Pelodiscus sinensis: one gene and its partner. The protein of the gene in region 1 binds, or shares a complex with, the protein of each later gene. Links are inferred from orthologs where the notes say so. Each region holds a gene or a part of one and is shown in the gene's direction. Other genes may lie near its edges.

Region 1 (10,735 bases):
CTATATTGCTATGTCTACACTGTAACACTATTTCAGGATACTGGAGTATCCCGAGATAGCTATCCCACGTCTTAACAGCAAGCCTGTTATTTCGGGCTCCCTATTCCAACATCCCTGTAAACTTCATTCGATGAAGAGTAAGGGACATTTTGGAATAGCGGGTTATTTCAAAATTTGGTGCTGTGTAGACAGTGCCAAATTATGAAATAAGCTATTGTACTTAGAAATAAGTACACAATTTGCCTAGCAATGAAGATGCACCCATTATATGTGTCAGTGTCATCATCACCATAGTATCTGAGTACTTTCCAATAATGCATTAAGTAATGTGACTAACTTCTGTCATGTTTTGGTTTTCTCCCAAGGGACAGAAGTGGGTGCAGTGAAAATGTGTAAAATATGTTTGACACATCCACTCCTATGTTTATTAGAGAAGGCAAAGTCAGAGAATTGCCTCTTGTCCCTACAGAAGAAGGAGGTGTGATTAGGTTTGTGCTCGCCTTACTCTCTATGGGTATGTCTACACTAGCTCGTTAATTCGAGCTAGGTAGGCAAATCAGGCAACCGGAGTTGCAAATGAAGCCCGGGATTTAAATATCCTTGGCTTTATTTGCATGTTCCCGTCCGGCCGCCATTTTTAAATCCCCCTTAGTTCGAACGAACTGCCCGCGGCTACACGCGGCAATTTAAAGTTAATCCGAACTAAGTCCTTAGTTTGGATTAACTGTTACGCCTCATTCCTCGAGGAGTAACAGTTAACCCGAACTAAGGACTTAGTTCGGATTAACTTTAAATTGCCGGATTAACTTTAAATTGCCGCGTGTAGCTGTGGGCAGTTCATTCAAACTAAGGAGGATTTTAAAATGGCGGCCGGACGGGAACATGCAAATAAAGCCCAGGATATTTAAATCCCGGGCTTCATTTGCAACTCCGGTTGCCTGATTTGCCTACCTCGCTTGAAGTAATGAGCTAGTGTAGACATACCCTATGGGAGTTTATTCCACAGGCAGGGGAGCTGAGAGTCTGGATGGGCCCTTTGGCAAGATGGAATGGGCCCGGCTTCATCCTCCCAGATGGGGTGGTGTGCAATGTGCACTCTAGTAGCAATTTAAAGGGCCTGTGGCTCCAGCTACCCCTATTAATACAGCAGCAGTGGCTGTGAGCCCCAGGTCACTTTGTAGTCCCAAACCCCCCTTTGGCAACTTCCCCCTTTGGCCTTCCATTGGCAGGCCACCCCACAGCCTTTGGTTAGCCCCTAAGAAAGATGTCTCCTGAGTGGATTCACTCTTTTGTAAGTTACATTGTGCCAGGGAAGAGAAATTGTTGATTACAGCAGGAGCGGTAAAAGTGCTCTAAAAGTGGGATGTCTGAACTGTGGCTCTACCTCCAAGCTGCACCACTTTTAAAACTGTCGCTCCACCCTTGTTCTGGCACCCCTTGATCATAATCTTCAAGATGGAACGTTATTCAATCTCTTATATGTCCTGAGTGTCTCAGAGGCCCCTAAAGGTGAGATGTCTGACCTTGATTCATAGTCTATGGGAAACAGCGGTAAGGAGCAAATGAGAGGTTTGATGTATTTGTGATGACTAGTGTTGCTAAGGAGACACACTACAGCATTTGGGACTGTTGAATTTCCTAAGCATTGAAGGCTTGCATAGGTATACTGCATTACTGGAGGCCAGCCAAAAGGTGACACAGCCATCACTAACGAATGCAGCTCGTCATTTGCTATGTCAGGATGGAGCCTCTGGGATAACTAGCACATACAGTGTTACTTGCAGATGCTGCTATAAGAGCTTAACATCAGTGGGGAATCCAAGAGCACGCGGATTCAGCTCTTATTCCAAAAAGGAGCTCAACTGTTGCTTATGTTTATCTCTAACACAGAAGGGCTATCATGTTCAACCAGCTTAAGTGAGGTTTCACCCAACCTCCTATTGTAATAGTACTTTCAATCAAAGGAGATTTCACTGTGGCTTTTCTTTGCTTAAGTTGTTTCAACCAAGTGTTGTTCACCCATGAGTTTATTTCACCTGCAATGGGCCATCTTAGTGATAGAGTTGAAGGATAGATAATACTGAATATTGCTAGCACCTCTTCCGTTGTCTGACACATGCACTTAATGGACACATGTAAATTTTGAATATGACCAGAGAGACATCCATCTTTATGGGACTCTATAGATGATGGGTCTAATAATAGAGGTGCAGTTTCCCCATCCCTACTCAGTGGGCACGTCCCTCCAAAAAGGACTCAAACTGCTGTAACTCACTACCCCTGATCTCTGCCACCTCTCTCAGGCTTGACAACAATATCTGATCTGGTCGATAACAATCAGTGCTTCAGAGATGTCCAGGATCCTAAAAATCGATGTCTGTTCTCTATCCGTTGTCAGCAGATCATTCATCAGTGCCACTAAAGTGGTTTCAGTTCCAGCAGCCACCATCCCAATTTCAACGTCCTATCACATTCTTCCCTGATTGGCAAATTCCTTATTTACTTCTAGCCTATGCTACATTTTCTTACCTATTCCCCACCCACAGCTGTGTCTGCTTTTCAGATCTCTACAATTCCCCTTTCCAGTCTTCTTTTTCCCTCTAACCAACAGAATTTCTTCATCATATCTCATCCCTCTTCAGATAATAACCTCAAAGCATTCCTGCTTTGACTTCCTCGGAAAGTTTCCAAATATCCTTGCCATATATGCTGAACTGCCTTTTATCCAATCATACGCTACTTCTGCAAATTTGTCCTGCTTGTGTTTATACAATCCCTCCAGGCCACATCTGTCCTTGTTCACTGTTAGTTATTATTTATACTCAAAACTAACCTGAGGCAAATTCCTGTTTCAACTCATCTCTTTTGTCTATCTTAAATATTACCTAAGCCTTGTTTTGGAGATAATAAACCTTTATAGACACCTCCATCAGCCTGTTGGGTGCAAGCACATAGCTTGTATTTGTTGTCTGGTCCTTGGACTTGCAATAGCAGAGCAGGCCAGACATTTTGAATGTGTTTCCATAGCTGTACAGAGATGGGATAGCAGAAGAAATTTCAGTAAGTTTATTAGGCACTGGATTTTCTGGTGAAAAAGTGGATGTTGTACTGGGAAGACATTTTAAAATTCTGCCACTTGAGAAGACGTCCCCTGCTCTTTTTCTCCTATTCAAAGAGGAGAAGGGATAGAATGTTGCAGTAAGTTTCCAGGGCAATTGGGAATGACAGTTGGGGAGTGCTCTTTGCCTCTCCTGACTTACCTCAGGATTTGTTTAGCACCAAAGCTAAGAGTGCCAAAGGAGGGGAAAGCACTGGCATCACGAGGCCCCTGGGAAGGAATAAAAACGACATGATGGGCTATGATGTAGTCAGCAATACCTAGTTTCAAGTGGTTAGTTAATTTTGTTTCTTCAGTGCTAGAATAAAAGCAAGGAATATATTCATGAACAGAAGTGAAATGAGCATTGGAGGAGTTTTGTGGTAAAGAGTGGCCTCCAGCACAGGTCCAGCTTTCAAACCAGGGATGTTAGATATTGTATAATTGAATAGTTTTGTAAGCGCATAAAGTATTATTGGTTACACAAATATTTGACAGTCCCCAGCGGTGGGGCTGACAGCCAGTGCGCTCTGGCCCCACTCCTGAGGAGTGCCCTGCCACCCTTTGCTGCTGTCTATTAGAGGCAGCAGTGCAGGGTGGCAGGCAAGAGCTGGTCCACGAGGGGAGCTGGTTTAAAAAACAGCTTGCCTCGCGGACTAGCTGCCTGCTGCCCTGTGCTACTGCCTCTGATACAGAGGTAGCGAGAAGGGATGGCAGCAGCCCCATGGGGGGGATCCAAGGTCTCCACGGACAGAGGCTTCTCTGCATTCTGTGGAGCAGCCTCGGTTGGTGGAAACCTCAAACCCCCAGCAGCCTCTGTGTGTGGGTAGCTCAGACTCTCCATGGGATGCAGAGCAGCGTCTGTCCACAGACAGCTCAGACCTCCCTGTGGACAAAGGCTGCTTCGTGGCAGCCTCTCGTGCCATCCTCCCCCACCTCCCATGCTGCTGCTTCTCAGAAAGGCAACAGCAGGGGGTGAGGGAGCAGGCAAATCTGGTATGTTCTTGAGGAGCCTGCTGAAATAGGAGGAGATAAGATAAGAATGGCCATACTGGGTCAGACCAAAGGTCCATCCAGCCCAGTATCCTGCCTGCTGACAGTGGCCAATGCCAACTGTCCCAGAGGGAGTGAACCGAACAGGTAATGATCAAGCGATCTCTTTCCTGCCATCCATCTCCACCCTCCGACAAACAGAGGCTAGGGACACCATTCCTTACCTATCCTGGCTAATAGCCATTAATGGACTTAACCTCCATGAATTTATCTAGTTCTCCTTTAAACCCTGTTATAGTCCAAGCCTTCATGACCTCCTTGGGCAAGGAGTTCCACAGTTTGATTTTGCACTGTGTGAAGAACTTCCTTTTATTTGTTTTACACCTGCTGTCCATTAAGTGCATGTGGTTGACAGGATTCTCAGCTTTACACTAATGTCCCTATTTCAAACTGCTCCAGGCCAGTAAGGTGCCATCCAAGCAACTGGTCTAGGCTTATCTGGTAGCTGAGTCGACTTATCATATTTCTCCCTCCTCCCCTTTGCTGCTTCTAATATAGAGGCAGCAAGGTTGGGGAGGAAGCAGGAGCCAGTGCTGGGAGGAGCTGGCTTAAAAGCCAATTCTCTCCCCTTCCCCGCACTGTATGCAGTTGGCAGGTGGGGAGTAGATGTGCAGCAGCGTTGCAGCTTTGCCTTTTAAATGTAGTAAGAGCTGCCTGTGAGTTACCCCCACTGTGGCTCTGCAGTTTAAATGTAGTAAGAGTTGGGCGGCAACTGCAGAGCCACAGTGAGGGAAGTGAGCACCCTCCCTTCATCAATTATGTTGAAAACAAAAAATGTAGATACCATGTAGATTCAAGCATGGAGGGTTTATTACACACAGCGCTGGCGGAGTGCCATCTTGCCACTTGGGCTCAGAAAACACTGCCAAGTAAATGATTACAATAGACTATATGGAGAGCTGATGGGCAGAGAGAGAAACGATGGGGCGGCAAGTTCCCAAGCCCCTGGATAGGTTGTAGCAGCAAGATATTATGAGCCAATAAGCCAAAAGTCTAAAAGATTACATAGTAACTCTGCTCACGGCTCAGGTTAACACAATTGCTAAACACAAGTATATGTATCCCTCTCCCCTCCCCCAAAGTGTGAGGCATACATCCCATATATTCCAATTGGGATATGTAGGAGTGGCAACGGTGCCTTCCAGATAGGTGATAGGAGTGGTTCACAGGTGCTTGTCTAGGTGATAGGAGTGGTTCACAGGTGCTTGTCTAGGTGATAGGAGTGGTTCACAGGTGCTTGTCTAGGTGGTGTAAAGCAAAAAACAAAACAAAGTAAGCTACACAGAAGCAATAGTTTATAATGTTACAAAATTAGCAAGTTGGGCTCATGAAAGGGGGGCACTATCTCTAGTTCCTTAGCAACAATTCCTGGTTGGCCTTGAGAGAGCAGCTGGGTGTCTCTTTCCCATGCAAACTGTGGGGCTCCTCACAGGGCCGTAACCTTGAGTGTATATGTGAAATTCATGATAGTAGTAGCCAATTGTGGCTTTTCGTTTAGCGTTGCGCTACCTAGTTTATAAGCAGACAGGGCTGCTGTTCTGTGTCCGTCCTGTTTTCTCAAAGCTTCCTATGATCCGTTTTGATGTCAGCTAGGCCGTGTCTCTCTGCTCCAACTGAACAGCAGGCTTTGGGGGAGGGACAGCTTAGCCACAGACCATAATTTAAGGTTTTACCTATGCATCAAAGGGCTACTGGCTACAGTGGCTTAAAACCCTGTTCCTACCACTACTCCATTAGCTGATTCTCCACCATTTGACATCCCTAGTGCTCACCCCAGGCGCATCACAGCCAGGGGCGCAAAGATGCAATAAGTAACACTATGCCACTGCTAGAGGAGAGAGGTGGATGCGCTAATATAAAGGAAGGGGGGGGGACGCATCATAAATATTCTGCCCAATACCGAGCGAGAGCAGGGTGGGCTGGGGGGGCGAGTAGCGGGCGGAGGAGCTATTTTGCTGCATGGGCGGGCGCAGCGCCACTGGAGCTTGCGAAGGTGGCTGGGCAGGGGCATCCCTCCTCCCCGCGGCTCGCACAGCGCAGGCCAGGCGGGAGCGCTGGCAACATTCGGCCCCGTCGCACCCCCGCGCCGCTCGACCTCGTGGCAGACCAAGCCCCGCCCCGCGACCAGACAGCCATTGGGAGACGAAGGCAGGCGCGCGCTTGAAGGCTGGGCGGGGTAGGCTGGGGAGGAGGCGCGCTCCGGCACGCGCTCGGGAGACCGCAGCCAGCCCCAGGGGAGCGGGGGCTACTGGGAAGTGGTGAGGTCATCACCAGGCGCGCCTCTGTCGCCGCCTTCTGACGTCGCCGCCGCGCTTCGCCTCCGAAAAGGGTACTCAGCCGCCGGTGCCACCCCTGGCGCTGCTGCCCCGCGCTGCTCGCTACCGGCGGAGGCCGAGGCAGCGGCTGCTGGTGCTTTGCCGCGCGCGGTAGCCGGGCTCGGAGCCGCTTTGCAGTTTCCGCTTCGTCTCCCCCCCCCCCTCCCATCGTCGGTCCCTCCCCGCCCGCTTTTGTCTTTGTCAGCCAGGTGGCTCTGCCCGGGTGAGACAGGTGCGGGCGGGGCCGCCCTGCGGGGGCGGATTGAGCGCGGGAGGGGCTGCGCTCCCCCCCCCCCCCCCCGCGATAGTTGACGTTCTCTCCCCCACCTGGGCTGGTTTCTTGCCTTCGGCCAACAATGCCTGTCCCGGGCCCCGCCGAGTGGGGGTGGGGGAAGGGCCGCCCTTGGGTTTCCCTCCTTCTGCAGCAGCTTCTGCGCCTGCTTGTGTCTGGTCTCGGTGCCTTGTGGTTTGGAGTGAGCCATGGCTGATTGCCTGGCCTCCTTCCCCCCTAGAGTCAATCCTGTCTCCTCTCTCTCGCAGACCCAGACCAGCAAGAGCTATAGGCTGAGGCGATGAGTCTGTTTAATCTGGACCGCTTTCGCTTTGAGAAGAAGACTAAAAAGGTGGAACAAGAAAATCCACCTACTCCTCTTCCCCCAGCTGAGATACCCTCTGCGCCTTCTCCTGCTGCAGCAGGCAGTGCTGCTGGTGGTGATAATGGTGGTGGTGGTGATGATGATGATGATGATGAGGTTACAGATGACAGCAGCAGGCCAGATACTCCAGCATCAGATGTTACTGAGAAAACTGGTGAGTTACATGTTTTGTGTTTAGCACAAACATATTGGCAATGTATAAGAGTAAAATGTCTGCCGCACTTACAGTTTTTCTTCAGTACTTCCATCTTCTCAGCTACCGCTACTTCATAATAATTGCCTTACAAATATCACAGGCTCTGCCATCGTATTTTCCTTTAAAAAAGTGAATAGAGGGCAGAATCAGGATTTAAAAGATCAAGCAGGGAGTCTGCTGAGAACCAGTAATGAAGTGCTTCATTGATTAAATTTCAAAAAAATGCTTGAAGCCCTTTTAGATAACACATGTACTACTCTCTGTCTCTCAAGGAAAGTATTCTAGAACCTTCAGACAACGGACGATGGTATATCCCTGATCCAGCCAGGCTGCAGTGACCCAGGAGAGCTGCAATTGGGGCCTGCTCTGGCTGGACTAGAGTATCCCTGACCACTGTGTGCTGGGCCAGGCCCACCGTGCCTGGGGGCTGCTCTGGCTGGGCTGGAATGCCCCCCCCCCCCCCCCCCGCCTGCAGCAGACCCTTCGGGGCTAGGACAACCCTATGCCTGTGGTGAACAGGGGGCAGTTCCAGCCTGCTGGTTAACTGTAACTGGTAAGCATCACCTGGTAAATGTGATGTTTACCCGTTAGCCATTCACATCCCTAGTCAGTATATTAATGTTGGTGACTTTTTGTTTGCTCTTAGTCCTCTTTTCCTTTTCATCCATTGATATGGTTGATTCTCTCTACATTTGACTTGCCTCCACCCTTGACTCTTTTGCTTCTCTCTTCCATCAAATGGCCTACTTCTGCTTTGTCAGTACCAGATTCCTATATTCCTATACTGCCTGCCCCAGCCCAACCCTGTTTCGGGAAAGGGTCAAGGCACCACATTAGTACTGGGGAGAGAGGCAAGGGGCACGTGGCTCCATGTGCTACTCCTTTTCGCCATCACCACTCCCTCAGCTCCCATTAGCCACAGTTCACCATTTCCAGCCAATGGGAACTGTGGGGGGAGAGGGGTGATGGGTGAAAGCAGGAGCAACATGCCAAGACTCCTTCCTCTCCACATAAATGGGGCCATCCTGGCTGCTTCTGGGAACGGGATGGTGGCATGTGGCTGGAGCAGTCAGGGAGCCTGCTGATTGCAATCAACTGAGAGATTTCCTAGGAAAGACCACTTGATCATGATTGACCAGTTTGACCGCTGCTCTATGCTGACAGAAGGACTGCTCCAGCCACATGCCACCATCCCGTTCCCATTGGTGTAGTTAATCCACTTCCGCTAGAGACAGTAAGTATGTCAGTGGGAAGAGCTCTTCCACTAATATAGTGTTGTCTATTCGGGCATTTTGGTCAGTATAATTACATTGCTCCTGGATGTGGATTGTACACACATCCCTGAGCAGCATATTTATACCAAAGTAATTCCACAGTGTAATTCCATAATTCCAGTCTCAGATGGTAAATTATGTGAGGTTGGATTATCTTTTGGTTCTGTGTTTGTACTTGATCATCTGTAGGGATTCTGGGTGGTGGTGGTAGTGGTAGGAGTTTAAGCCAGGAGACTCGTTTATCAGTTACTGGGTTGCCAACTTCACTCCTTTTTGGATCAGATCTTCAGATTAATCAGTGAAGATGATCAAACTGTTGTAATAGTTTTCAATTAAAAAGCAGTCAATTTAATAATCACATTTACATTTACCCCAAACCATGCAGACATGCTGAGCCAGCACTGATTCCCTGCCCCTGCCTCCCTCCCTCTCTCCCCTTGGCTGTGTCTGCACTGGCACGATCTTGCGCCAAAGTGGCCACTCTTGCGCAAAATCTTGCTTCCTGTCTACATTGGCCGTGTGTTCTTGCGCAAGTACACTAACGTTCTCATGTATGAAATCAGGGCTTCTTGTGCCAGAACTCTGACGCTCCCGCTCAGGAATAAGCCCTTTTGCGCAACTGTTCTTGTGCAAGAGGCCAGTGTGGACAGGCAACATGAATTTCTTTCGCAAGAAAGCCCTCTATCACAGGCAGCAGCAGGGGAGGGGCTGCTGCTGGGGACCAGCCTCTGTCCTCAGCCAGCCGGGGCTGCCATGGACAGAGGCTGCTTCGCTGCGCCTGCACCCACCTCCCTCCTGCAGCAGCCTCTGTTAGCAGGGAGCTCGGACCCCCGTGGACAGGGGATGCTGCCACCATGTGCAGCTGCAGGGCGGCAGGCAGCCAGTCTGTGCGGGGAGCTGTTTTACCCTATATCTAACATCGCTACTGTGCAAATGCAACAGTTTCCCCATTCCCTAACATAGAATCATAGGTTTGGAAGAGACTTCAGGAGGTCATTGAGTCTAACCATCCATGCTTCAGAATGTTCTTAGATTAGCATATGAATGAACGCACTTGTATAGTACTTAAACTAATGCAGGGTTTTGAAATTTAGAACTTGATTTGGTCTCTATATAATGGACAATCCATGCCAAGTGTAGTGTATAAAGATATATATTCCCAGTGTCCTCTGTTGATGAGTAGATGAGCTCTTGGTTTCTCGACCAGTTGGATTTTTCTTGTGGCATTAGGCTTGATTCATAGATACAGTGAGTGGCAATAGTTGAGTCCATTTGTTACAAAATAGGGATGTTACATTTCAATTCAGCAGCTAATTTCCATCAGCTACTCGATTAGTTGACAAAGAGGAGGGGAGACTCTTGCTATCCCAGCTGTGCCTCTGCCTTTTAAATGTAGTGAGAGCTGCAGAACTCTTACTTACTGGGAAGAGCTGTGATTGCATCGATGCGAATAGTCTTGCCACCAATGCAGATGGTAACTTTTCCACTCCATCCTGTTTTGTGCGGTTATTGTTCATGTGTTTCCATACATCTTCCATAAAGGATCCACCCAATGTGCTGGAGGCCTTCCTCTTGTTTTTTACATCTCGTGATACCAATGGATTATAGTGCTGTCCATCTGTTGTCTCTCGATCTGGCTATATGGCCAACCCATCCCTTTTTCCTGTCATCCATAACTTGGATGATATCGTGAACACTACTTCATTTGTGCAAATCATTGATGATAACTTGCTATAGCCTACTCACACCCACCCATCTTTCCGTTGCTCTTCGGATGGTTTGCAGCTTTAATTCTTCTGTAAATGTCGTGTTTAGGTGGTACAGCCGTACAGCATTACCGGAAGGATACTGGTGTTAAAGAGAGAGGCTTTTGTGGGGGTGGAAAGTTTGGTATAAACAAAAACACTATGCAGACTCCCAAAGGCAATCCAGCTCGACTTCCTCCTCCTGCTCAACTCTGGGCCCAACTCATTGTGCATCTGCAACTGTTGTCCAAGTTATACATATTGATCCACCAGCTTAACAAACAGTCCATCTAGCTGCATGGTGTATTCTCTGAACAATATGTGTTTTTCATCCACTTAGTTTTTATAGTGTTGATGGTTAGGCTAATCTTCTTCGCATTCTTACCAGTGTCAATGAGG
Region 2 (11,187 bases), on another chromosome or scaffold:
GTACTGCGCAGGTGCGCAGCTCAGAGAGGGCTCAAGAGCTACTCTTGGAGCCCCTGAGATCTACCAGTAGATCGCGATCTACTGGTTGGTGACCACGGCCTTAGGGTATGTCTACAGTGCAATACTATTCAAAATAACTACTGCTATTCTGAAATAACTTAGTCAGCACAGCAGGCAGTTATTTCGAAATAGTGTCAAAATACTGTCAAGCTGGAAGACTTCTTACTCTGTTTTCTGTAACCCGCATTGTACGAGGAATAAGGGAAGTCTGAGGAAGAGTGCTCTATTTTGAAATAAGTGCATTGTAGATGCTCCCTATTTGGAAATAAGCTATTTCAAAATAAGATATGCAATTGATGTAGCTCAATTTGTGTAGCTTATTTTGAGTTAAGCCCTGCTGTGCAGACACACCCTTTGTCATCTCTTCTCCAAGCTGAAAAGTCCCAGTCTTTTAACTCTTTCCTTAAAAACAAGCTGTTCCATATCCCTAATTATTTTTGTTGCCCTTTTCTGTACCTTTTACAATTCTAATATATATTTTTAGAGATGGGGCAACCAGATTTTCACTTAGTATTCACAATGTGGACATACTAAGGATTTATATAGTGGCATTATGATATCTTCCATCTTATTATCGATTCCTTTCCTAATAACCATTTATTCAAACCCACTAGTTCCTCTCTTTTTAACAAGTTAGTGATCCATGATGGGACCTTCCATTTTATCCCATTATGAGGTATGAACTATAAATACCACTTCTGATTGTTCTCCTATCCTTGGTGATCCAGAAAAGAGTTTACATAGGCTAGGGAAGAGAGGGAAATAGGAGGGGAGCCTGAGAAGAGCCTGTTTGTCCAGGAACCCTGGGGCCATGGCACAGAGGAGAGGAAAGGTGTTTGGTGTGGAGAGAGATGAATGTCTTTGTCTGGAACTAAAGGAAAAACTATAGAGCACTTTAAAGACTAACAAGATGGTTAGTCTTTAAAGTGCTACATAGTTTTTCCTTTTGTTTTAGCAAGATCAGACTAACAGGGCTACCTCTCTATTACTGTTTGTCTGGAACTGTTTCACTTAACTGCATCAGCATCCGAATGGGCTGTGCCTTTATCACCTTTCTGAGCTGGATGGGAACCATTGTTCTCTATAGGGCTGGGATGACTCAACCCTACCCTAGAGGTCAATAGGAGTCTGGGCATCAATGGGAAACCCCCCCTTGACTTTAATGAGCAAGAGCAGTGGAGTTGGAATCCCACATCCAGAGCTTGCTGTTTCATATATACCAAGAGTCACATGTTTCATAGCTTGTGCAGGCTCAGTTCCTTGCATACCTCCATCTGCCCCCCTACTCGCTTCTTGGGTGCCATCTCTCCAGCCCCTTTGATTTCAGGGACTCTGCATCCTGCCTGCCTCTTGTCAGCAGCTCTCTGTGCCCCCCCATTCTCACACCACCAGGGGCTCAGTGTGTCCTTTCATTCCCATCTCCAGTACTAAAATTCCCCATTCCCCCCATGGCAGGGGCCGTGTGTGCCTCCTCATTCCCCACTTTCCCATGCCACCATCTCCCCATTGTCGTCACCCTCCAGGAGCTCAGTGTACCGCCTCAATCCTCCACAACTCTCATTCTGGGCTCTCCCATTCTCCTCCAATGGCAGCCTCTGGCAGGGGTTATATGTACCCCCTCATTCCCGCGTCCCGTATACTAGCATCCCCCACTGTCTCCATCCACCAGAGGCTCTGTGTGCCCCCATTTCTCTTATCTGCCCTAGCAGTCTCTCCCATTCTCTCCCCATGGCAGGGGCTGTGTGTACCCCTCATCCCCTGATTATCAGGGTCCTTCATTTCTACCCTACATGTCAGAAAATTAAAAAAAACACACAAAGCCCCTATTCCTGGAGAAATATGCTCAATTTTACTATGCTGGGTGTGTATGAGAGAGAGAGAGAGAGAGAGAGAGAGAGAGAGAATGTTTTTCTGAAAGCTTTAGTGCCTGGAGTTCTGGGATAAAGTCAGATTCTCTACTTGATTTTTTTTTAGAAAGCAATTACAGTAAGACTCCAATTGTCCGGCATCCAGTGGTCCGGCACTCCCGATAGTCTAGCACCAATTGGAACCCGGAAGTGCTCCGGCCAGCCGGACAATTGGAGCTGCTGTGAGCCCCATGGACACTCGCGGCTGGTAAAGGGCAGGGCAGAAGAGGGGAAGGGGATTATACCGTGTGATGGGTCCGCCGGAACCCACACTGCGTCAGGCTGAGAGGTGGGGAGTGGGCAGGGAATGACGTGGCGAGGGGTGAACCCTCTCCCGTTTTGCAGAAAGGCGGGGGAAACCCCACACCACTGCCGAGAGTTTCCAGGAGGGGAGCGGGTTCCCCACCCCCCAGACTGGAGTAGTTATTGCCAAGCAGGGGGGTAAGGAGCGGCGCTGCAGGACCAATCTGGCAGCACCTCAGCTGCTCTGCTCCGCTGCTTGTCCGCCACTCATCAGTCTTTTATTGAATTGTAGATGTACCCTGGGAGTTTCACAGGGGTTAAACTGACTGGTCTCTTTGTATTGTACAGAAATCAAATGGCAAAAATGAAGGGGGGGGGGAGAATCATGAGTCTTTAAAAAGCCCAATTAGCTTTAATGATCGTAGAGACTGTTGGGAACCCACGGCCAGAGTTCTTGTTTTGACCAATATGATTGTTCTTGGATTTCCAGGCCAGTTTCCATCAACTTCCAATATAGCACAGATCCATGGTGCCTGCATCCAGCACATGTTTTCTGATTGAGCTAGAACAGATCTTTTAGACAAAGACACCTGTTCTGGATTTAAAGACACCAACTGATGGGGACCCCTTCTCTGAAGGGATGGGGGACGCTCATCCCCTTGATGAGACATTTTCTGTGGTTAATGATATTTGTTGTTAGAAATCCAAGTTTTATTTCTTGTCTCAGTTTATCTAGCTTCTTCTTCAAGTCTTTGTGTGTGTCTACATGGCAAAGTTATTTCAGAATAGTGGCCATTATTCTGAAATAACTATGTGAGCATCTATACAGCAATTCCGTTATTTTGACATAATTTTGAAATAATGGACGGCTTATTCTGACTTCTGCAAACCTCATTCTACGAAGAATAATGCCTATTCTGAAATAGCTATTTCAAAACAAGCCGGCTGTGTCTACACTGGGCCACTTATTCCAGAAAAGCAGCTGCTTTTCCGGAATAACTTGAAAGCTGTCTACACTAGCCGCTTTCTTTTCCGGAAAAGCAATGACGATCTAATGTAAAATCGTCATTGTTTTTCCGGAAAAACTATGCTGCTCCCATTCAGGCAAAAGTCCTTTTCCGGAAAAACTGTTCCGGAAAAGGGCCAGTGTAGACAGCCCAGTAGTCTTTCCCACAAAAAAGCCCCGATTGCGAAAATGACGATCGGGGCTTTTTTGCGGAAAAGCGCGTCTACATTGGCACATGTACATTTCCGGAAAAGCATCCTGCCAATGTAGACATGCTTTTTCCGGAAATACTTATAATGGAAAACTGTTCCGTTTTAAACATTTCCGGAAAAGGGTGCCAATGTAGACACAGCTGCCGTGTGTAGATGCTCCACCTATGCTATTTTGAAATATGGCCTCACCAGGGCCATTCTAAGTTATTTCTCCTGGGGCTCTAAATTGACATAGCACGTCTACATTAGGGAAGCCTGCCTTGGACTAATTTTCAGGCTTCCCTGCAGCGTAGCTATTCTATTTCAAAATAAGCTATTTTGGAATAATTATTCTAGAATATCGTATTCCGAAATAATTTGCACTGTAGACGTAGCCATTGTGGGCAAGACTGAACAGTCAGAAATATCCTAGGGTAGGCAGACTTGCCAAATGATCCAGAATTATGTGTCAGGCTTACCAAAAATCATGTGGTTGGCTTTAAAAATCATGAGGGGATGCTGAAGTCATGCATATTGGCAGGGCTTGCTGAGTGGCGGCGAGCCCTGCTCACCAGCCATGGGGTTCTGCACTCTGCGCATGTGCAGATCGTTCTGTGCATGCGCAGATCGTTCTGCGCCAGCTCTTCCGGGGTGTAATCTATTTGCCACGGGCGAGTAGATCACACTATTTGTCAAGCCCTGCATATTGGTGTTCTTTTTATGTGCCTTCTGCTTCTGAGCCTTACTGGGATCACTGTCAGAGTTCCCTGTAGGTTGTGCACTTGGGCAGCCATTGAGGAAAGATTAGCAGAGTGCAAACAGTTGGCAGCATGTGGTTCTATGGGTGGTGCACATCTGCACATACCTTGGTGCACCTAACAACATTTATTCTGCACATAGATGAAAAAATTTAGAGAGAATATTTGTCATGTTTTCAAGATTTCACCACACCCACGGAGGCTAGAAACGTCATTTATTTTGAAGAATGAAGGCTGAAATCAGCACACACCCACTTGGTTGGGGCTTAAAGGAAAACAATCACTATCACGAGACTCACCACAAAATCATGAGATGGACACACTGGAGAGGCCACGATCAAGTCACTCTCGGCACGTACTCTGTCCTAAAGTTAGTTAAATGGATCAAATGCGTTTCATCGCTCACAGGGAGGCAAGTTTTAAAGATCCAGAAATGTTTGTGTGGCTTCCTTCAAACAATCACCAATGCTCTGCTTCACGGCCGCACTCTTATTATTTCTAAATTGAAATTCTGGATTCAGAGAAGAGTGTTGGAGTCAAGGCAGGGGGCAGACTTTGGTTTGGGCAAATCTGGAGTGATTCTCCTTTGGGTCAGACCAGAGTGAATCAGAGTGAGTCCACTGAGCTCCATGGGGTGGGACGCAGCATTGGGTCAGTCTGGAGTGATTTCATTGAGCTCAGTGGGGTGGGACCGGGTATTGGGTCAGACCAGAGTCGATCTGAAGTGATTCCCCAAAGCTCAGTGGACTAGGGACCCTGGGTTGGGTCAGACTGGAGCGAAACTGGAGCGATTCCACTGAGCTCACCCGGTTGGGGCCCTATATTAGGACACAGAGTGAATCTGGAGCGATTCCACTGAGCTCACCCGGTTGGGGCCCTATATTAGGACACAGAGTGAATCTGGAGCAATTCCACTGAGCTCAGTGGCGCGGGACCCTGTATTGGGTCAAACTGGAGTGACTCCAGAGTGACTCCTGAGCTCAGAGAGCAGGCCCTTCACTGGGTCAGTGCAGAGTGACTCTAAAGTTATTCCAATGAAGCGTGGGGTGGAACCTGCTCTGGGTCAATCCAGAGTGAATCCAGAGTGACTCCACATAGCTAAACAGTGTCCTTTGGGTCACTCCAGATTCACTCATAATTTGCCCCCACCCCACTTTGAGGGAAGTGATAAACCTCAGGGATTTTTTTTTGGGGGGGGGGGGAATGGATTCCCTCCCCCCCCATTCCTATGCCCTCTGTGGGCAGGCAGGAGCTGGGCAGCGGGAATTTAGGATGAAGTAATTGGCTTCAACTCCTGTCAGTCATTGAGTCGGTCCTGAGGTAATTCATGATCTGATTGGTTCTCTTTCCTGTCCGTCACAACCTACATCCCGCCTCCTCCTGGAAGGTAGGAAACCTGCCGGGTCCGCTCCATGCTAATCAAAAAAATTCCCACCCCCGGGGGAAGATTCGATGGCTGATTGGCCTCGAGACACGTCAATCACTGGCTGTTGCCTTCGGCATGCGGGAGGCGGAGCCTTATTAACCGACCGTTCTGAGGCGCCTTCCACGCTCTACTCAGGCAGGCCTGCCTCGCCTAAAGCGGATTCGCCCTCACCTCCTGTCAGTCTCTACGTATTCTGCGGCCTCCCGGCAACCGGGGGAGCGGATTGGCTCTCTGTCTTGTCATTCCTCACTCCTCCCTCCTCCCCCACCACCTCCCTGCCTAAGCCCCGCGATTGGCATCAACTTCAATCGATCGTTCTTTCTCCAGCCCTACGCCGAACGTAGGGAGACGCTCTCCCCGGATTGGCCGGCCGGCCCGACTTTCCCCTTGCTAAGCCCGCCCTCGTGGGCTATTTCAGCTCCGATTGGCCGTCGCTCTCTCCCTGTAGGAGGAGCGACGCCAAAGCAGGCAGGCGGGTTTTCTGCTTTTCTCTCCCCGCCTCCCTCCCCTCTCTCTCTCTGTCTCGCGCGGCGTGCGTGTGCGCGCGCAGCTCCCCTTGTCTCCTAGGCTTTGTGCAGCGGGGCCGTGAACGTTCCATCGCCGTTAGCGGCGCGCGCGCGGCCCTCGCGGCGAACGTCCCTCCGACTTGGCGGCGCGAGCGCGTGCGGGCGCCCCTCCCCCCTCCGGCGACCGTTGCGCTAGCCTCGCGGCGACCCTCCCCCCCCCCGCTTCGCCGGCAGACGCGGGAAAGGAGGAGGAAGGGGGGCGGCCGCCATGTCGGGCTCGGCGGCCTCGGCCGAGGCGGGCGGCCCCGGCGGGGAGAAGCGGCCGGAGGCGATGGAGCTGCTGGAGAAGTGCGGCGTGTGCCGCGAGCGGCTGCGGGCCGAGCGGGAGCCCCGCCTGCTGCCCTGCCTCCACTCGGTCTGCCGGGAGTGCCTGCGGGCCGAGCCGCCCGCCGACGGGGAGGCCGCCAACAATAAAGAGGGACAAGGTGAGCGCGCGGGAGGTCAAGTGGGGGGGGGGTCTTGCGCATTGTGGGGGCAGAGAAGGGCTGTGGGGGGGGAGGGGGGAAGGGCACTGGGGGGGCCGTGTGCATTATGGGGGGGAGGGGGGAAGGGCACGGGGGAGCGTGTGCATTGTGGGGGGGAGGGGGGAAGGGCACGGGGGGGCGTGTGGCACGGGGGGGGCGTGTGCATTGTGGGGGGAGGGGGGAAGGGCACGGGGGGGCCGTGTGCATTGTGGGGGGGAGGGGGGAAGGGCACGGGGGGGCCGTGTGCATTATGGGGGGAAGGGCACGGGGGGGGCCGTGTGCATTGAGGGGGGAGGGGGGAAGGGCATGGGGGGGGCCCGTGTGCATTGAGGGGGGAGGGGGGAAGGGCATGGGGGGGCCGTGTGCATTGTGGGGGGGAGGGGGGAAGGGCATGGGGGGGAGGGAGGAAGCACACGGGGGGGGCCGTGTGCATTGTGGGGGGGGAGGGGGAAGGGGACGGGGGGGAAGGGCAGGGGTGACCATCTCCCTCCTGCAAGGGAGGGAGGGGGTGTGCATTAGGTGTAAGGCCTCCACAAGGCGGTGTCCCTTCTGTAGTAGGTGGGATTAGGAATGGAGGGTGTGGGTTGAGGGCAGGAGAGCTGTGTAGTGGGCGTGACACTTCTTCCCCTGGAGTGAGATGGGTGGGGGAGGAGGTCCTTCCAGGGGGGCCCTGCCTGCCATAACCGTACCTAGGCACTTCCCTAGGACAATGTCTTCCCCCAAACCACTGCTTCAACAGACCTCCCTGAATGTCTGCCTCACCCCCTAGCAAGTCCTTCACTATCTCCAGGGTCCCATTCATGCCTCCTCAGTCTCCTATAGCAGCACACTCCTCCCTAAGTGCATCAGAGGAGTGCTCCCAAACTTCCTTCCCTGACTTGCTCTGTCCCCCTTAGTGCCCTGAATTAGTGGTCCTGTCTACCAGATCACTGTGTCCCCAGATTGGTTCTTAGTCTGCCACTCCTACCCCACCCCATGTGCTACTTGCACTAGCTTCCCTAGCACTATTCTCCTCAACCCATGCATCCATACCTGTCTGTTACACTACTAACCCAGTGCTTACAGGATTCTGACTAGATAATGGGGCAAGGACTTGGAGGAAATTCCTATATGTTAGTGAATACTTTTTGGCACAGGAAGCCTCAGGTAAGTGCTGGGTGAAAAGAGTAGCACTCCAGAGGGTTTCACACTTGTCTGCTCTTGGTAGGGAGCAGGGTTTCCATGAAGGAGGGAGACCTTTCCAAAATGCTCAAATGATTTAGATGCTCAAATGCTGTAGGTTTTCAGGCCTAATCTACACTGGGAAGAGTTGACTGGTCTTGTTTCACAGTAGGACTTCCATTATGAGGGAATGGAGATGTTCTGAGCATTTTGATGGTTCTTTCAAAAGTTTACAGGTGAACATTAAGTAAATATAACTTTGAAACTTAGGTATGCAGAAGAGATGCTGCTTTTTAGCCATGTCCGTTTAAATGAAGCAAGGATGAACAGTTTCCATACCTTGTCATAACTTTTAAAATGTTACTTTTTTAGTTCACATTTAACACATACAGTAGTTTATTTTGGTTTGTCTGCTGCTGCCTGATTGCATACTTCTGTTCCAGGAGAGGGGTGTGGTTGACCAGTCAATTTGTAACAGTTATATATAATTCTTAGAGGTTCTACTCTATTGGCAAACTCTCCTAAATACAGATGCACCTCATACCAGTTAACTATAGTTGCATCATATGATTTCCCAGTACAGAAATCATACCCTCAGCCAACATTACTATTCCAGTAAAGGTTTCTAGTGTGGACCTGGCCTCAGTGGGATTAAACTGATGAACTGCCAATCCAGTTCTGTTCCTCTAAGGGACTACCTGTAAAAGTGGGAGAGGTGATTCAGATCTGATTTAGGCACTTGTTTTGTATGAGGATAACATGGAGATGGTGATGATTATTTTAAAGAACACTGATGCAGTTTCCTCATTTGTGTACAGTTATACCAGTATAATGGTGCCTTATTCTGCCATAATGTATTCCTGATTGGCTGTGGAGGTACAAAGGACCTTTACACTAGGTATAACTGCATGCAAACGGGGGGGGGAAGGTGGTGTTCTGCTTTGTAGCAACATAATGCCATGGTTACAGCAACTCTGTCCTCTTTTTGACATCTAAGTGCACCCATTTTATTTATTTTGCTAGAATAAATAGGCCCCAGAATGTTAAAGGTGTTAAAATAATCATCTCTCTGTCCATTAAGGAAACATGTTTTGGTGGTTTGTATGCAGAGATCCTGGGACTACTTAGTCGTATGACAAACAGTGCATTAAATTCTTTAAGCAGGTAGAAGAGAAACTACTAAAGCATTAGAAATGTTAAATATTAAGTCTGTACAGGCAGTCCCCGACTTACGCGGATCCGACTTATGTCGGATCCGCACTTATAAACGGGGCTTTTCTTGCCCCGGAGTTCACGGGCGGCAAGTCGCCACCCGTGTCCTCCCCGGGGCGAGAAAAGCTTCTCCCCGGTCTCTCTGGTCTGCTGGGGGGGGGGGTCCAGCGGCTTTTCTGGACCCCCCAGCAGACCAGGGGGACAGGAGCAAAGCTGCCCAGGCAGCGGCTTTGCTCGGGTTTCCCTGGTCTGCTGCGGGGGGAGGGAGCGCAGCTAGTGCGCCCCCCTCCCCCCAGCAGACCAGGCTTTTGTTGCGGAATGCCTCAGGTAGAGCTGTGGGAACCTACAGGGCAGTGCCCCAGCTGTTCTGTCCCAGGCTCCAGATTCAGCAGCTGTTGAAACTGATCAGGCTGATTCCAGGAAGCTGGGGGCAGAGCAACTCTGCCTCCGGCTTCCTGTAGTCAGCCCCTGGTCAGTTTCAGTGGCAGCAGCTGAATCTGGAGCCAGTTCCGACTTGCATACAAATTCAACTTAAGAACAAACCTATAGTCCCTACCTTGTACATAACCCGGGGACTGCCTGTACTAACAAAATTCCTTGTTTACTTGTGCTGTAGAGTTTTTAATGAGGAAACTTGTTCATCTTTTTAGTAGATATTAAAGATGGTAATTGTCTTTGAGGGCAGTTGTTTGCCAGGTTGGAGGTGTAGGTAAAATCTGATCCTACTTCCAAAAACAAGACAGACAAATGTGGAAGGAGAGAAAAATAGGGAAGATAGAAAATGCAGCTACTTTGGTGCTGACTTATATATACAACCACATTGCTGGAGAAACACAGGACTACTCTGGTGTCTGATCAGCCACTTTGAGAACAGGCAAACTTGTAACAGCAATCAGGCTAGTTAGAATATGGCATTGCTTTCAGTTGCCTCTGTGGTCAGGAGCATATAGGTATTAACAGGGCTTGACAAATCTGCTTATCTACTTGCCCTTGATGAGTAGATTTGAGCTGGTCGCCCGTTCACTGGTTCGCTCATGCTCAGTGCGGGGCTGGTGAGTGGTTTTCACCACGGTTTCTCGAGCCCTGGGTTTTAAAGATGGTAATTGTCTTTGAGGGCAGTTGTTTGCCAGGTTGACAATACAAAATAAGTTGCTTTGATTAATCCAGACTTACTAAACGGGGCAAAAGGAAAGAGGAGATAAGTTGAAAGGAAAAGGATACCTGAAAAAGGGGGATAGCAGTAACCAAAGTCTTAAAACTCAAGCGGTGTTTGTGTTGAAATAGGTGAGAGATAGAAATGTTATCTTTGTTGCAGTCTCTAGCCTGGTCAGGACATTGAGGTCCCAAGAGACAGTGGGGGTGGCAGCCATAATGGTAAATTGTGCCCATTACATTGTCTCTTAGGCCATGTCTTCACTAAACAATCTATCTTCTGGAGTTTGATTTAGCAAGTCTAAATCAAATTCTGACAGCACCCCTGCTTGCTGCTGGTACTCCTGCTTCTGGGAGGACTAAGGGAAGCAGATAGAAGAGTTTGCTTCTGTCCACTTCCCACTGTGAGGACAGCAGGGAAACCAAAACAAGGTATGTTGACTTCAGCTATGTAATTAACATAGCTTGAGTTGCTTCATATCTTGGTTCCACGTTCCCTTTCAGTATAGACCTAGTCTTAGCTAGCAAGCTGACTTCCCCTTTCCTGAAGTCTTTTTAAGGACCCCAAAATGGAAGTGGTGGATGTCATGTCCCATCTTCCCTATTTTGTCACTAGCTAGGTGTGACTTCTGACATCCCAATTTTGTTTTGATTTCCAGTCCTACACTTGTTTTATCAGAGAGGTGATCTTCAGTGCAGTCTGGCCTTGTCTACCCTGGCAAGTTTTGTTGCCACAATGTCCTTTTGTCAACAAACCCCAGAGAGTGTTCACATTGCAACACAACAAAAGTTGCAAAAAGTGCCCAGGTTTGGAGACAAAACTTCCACCTCTGAAAGGGACATTTGTGTCTTCCCCTCCCTTTGGTGCAGACAGTCATGCAGTGTGTACTACAGTAGGTTTTTTATCAAGTTTATTGACCTCTAGCCTGTTTCCCTCAGTGCCCACTTAGCAACATAAACAGATATGCCCCTCCCACCCCTGAACCCCGGGAAACTTTAAAATCTATTTCCTACTGTCTACTTCATTGTGTGGTGGTCCCT

Evidence for each region.
Region 2: the proteins of SMARCAD1 (region 1) and TRIM28 are in contact, whole or in part, in a crystal structure (PDB 6H3A), measured with the Homo sapiens proteins. The link is inferred for Pelodiscus sinensis from reciprocal best matches to the Homo sapiens genes SMARCAD1 and TRIM28. Residues at the interface, in NP_001362784.1 of Homo sapiens: Asp156, Leu157, Ala160, Lys161, Gln163, Thr164, Glu167, Leu168, Phe169, Asp188, Gly189, Ala190, Ala192, Leu196, Ala201, Gly202, Gly203; in NP_005753.1 of Homo sapiens: Arg330, Trp333, Thr334, Lys337, Ile338, His341, Leu376, Lys377, Ile379, Val380, Asp381, Val383.

Annotation. Positions count from the first base shown.
Region 1 is NC_134715.1:18,988,568-18,999,302, forward strand, and holds the start of SMARCAD1 (SWI/SNF-related matrix-associated actin-dependent regulator of chromatin subfamily A containing DEAD/H box 1), read left to right. Parts: upstream 1-6,339; 5' UTR 6,340-6,479; exon of another isoform or gene 6,480-6,559; intron 6,560-7,005; 5' UTR 7,006-7,037; coding exon 7,038-7,275; intron 7,276-10,735. UniProt on the Homo sapiens protein: DNA helicase that possesses intrinsic ATP-dependent nucleosome-remodeling activity and is both required for DNA repair and heterochromatin organization.
Region 2 is NW_027465849.1:2,730,425-2,741,611, reverse strand, and holds the start of TRIM28 (transcription intermediary factor 1-beta), read left to right. Parts: upstream 1-6,052; 5' UTR 6,053-6,365; coding exon 6,366-6,582; intron 6,583-11,187. UniProt on the Homo sapiens protein: Nuclear corepressor for KRAB domain-containing zinc finger proteins (KRAB-ZFPs).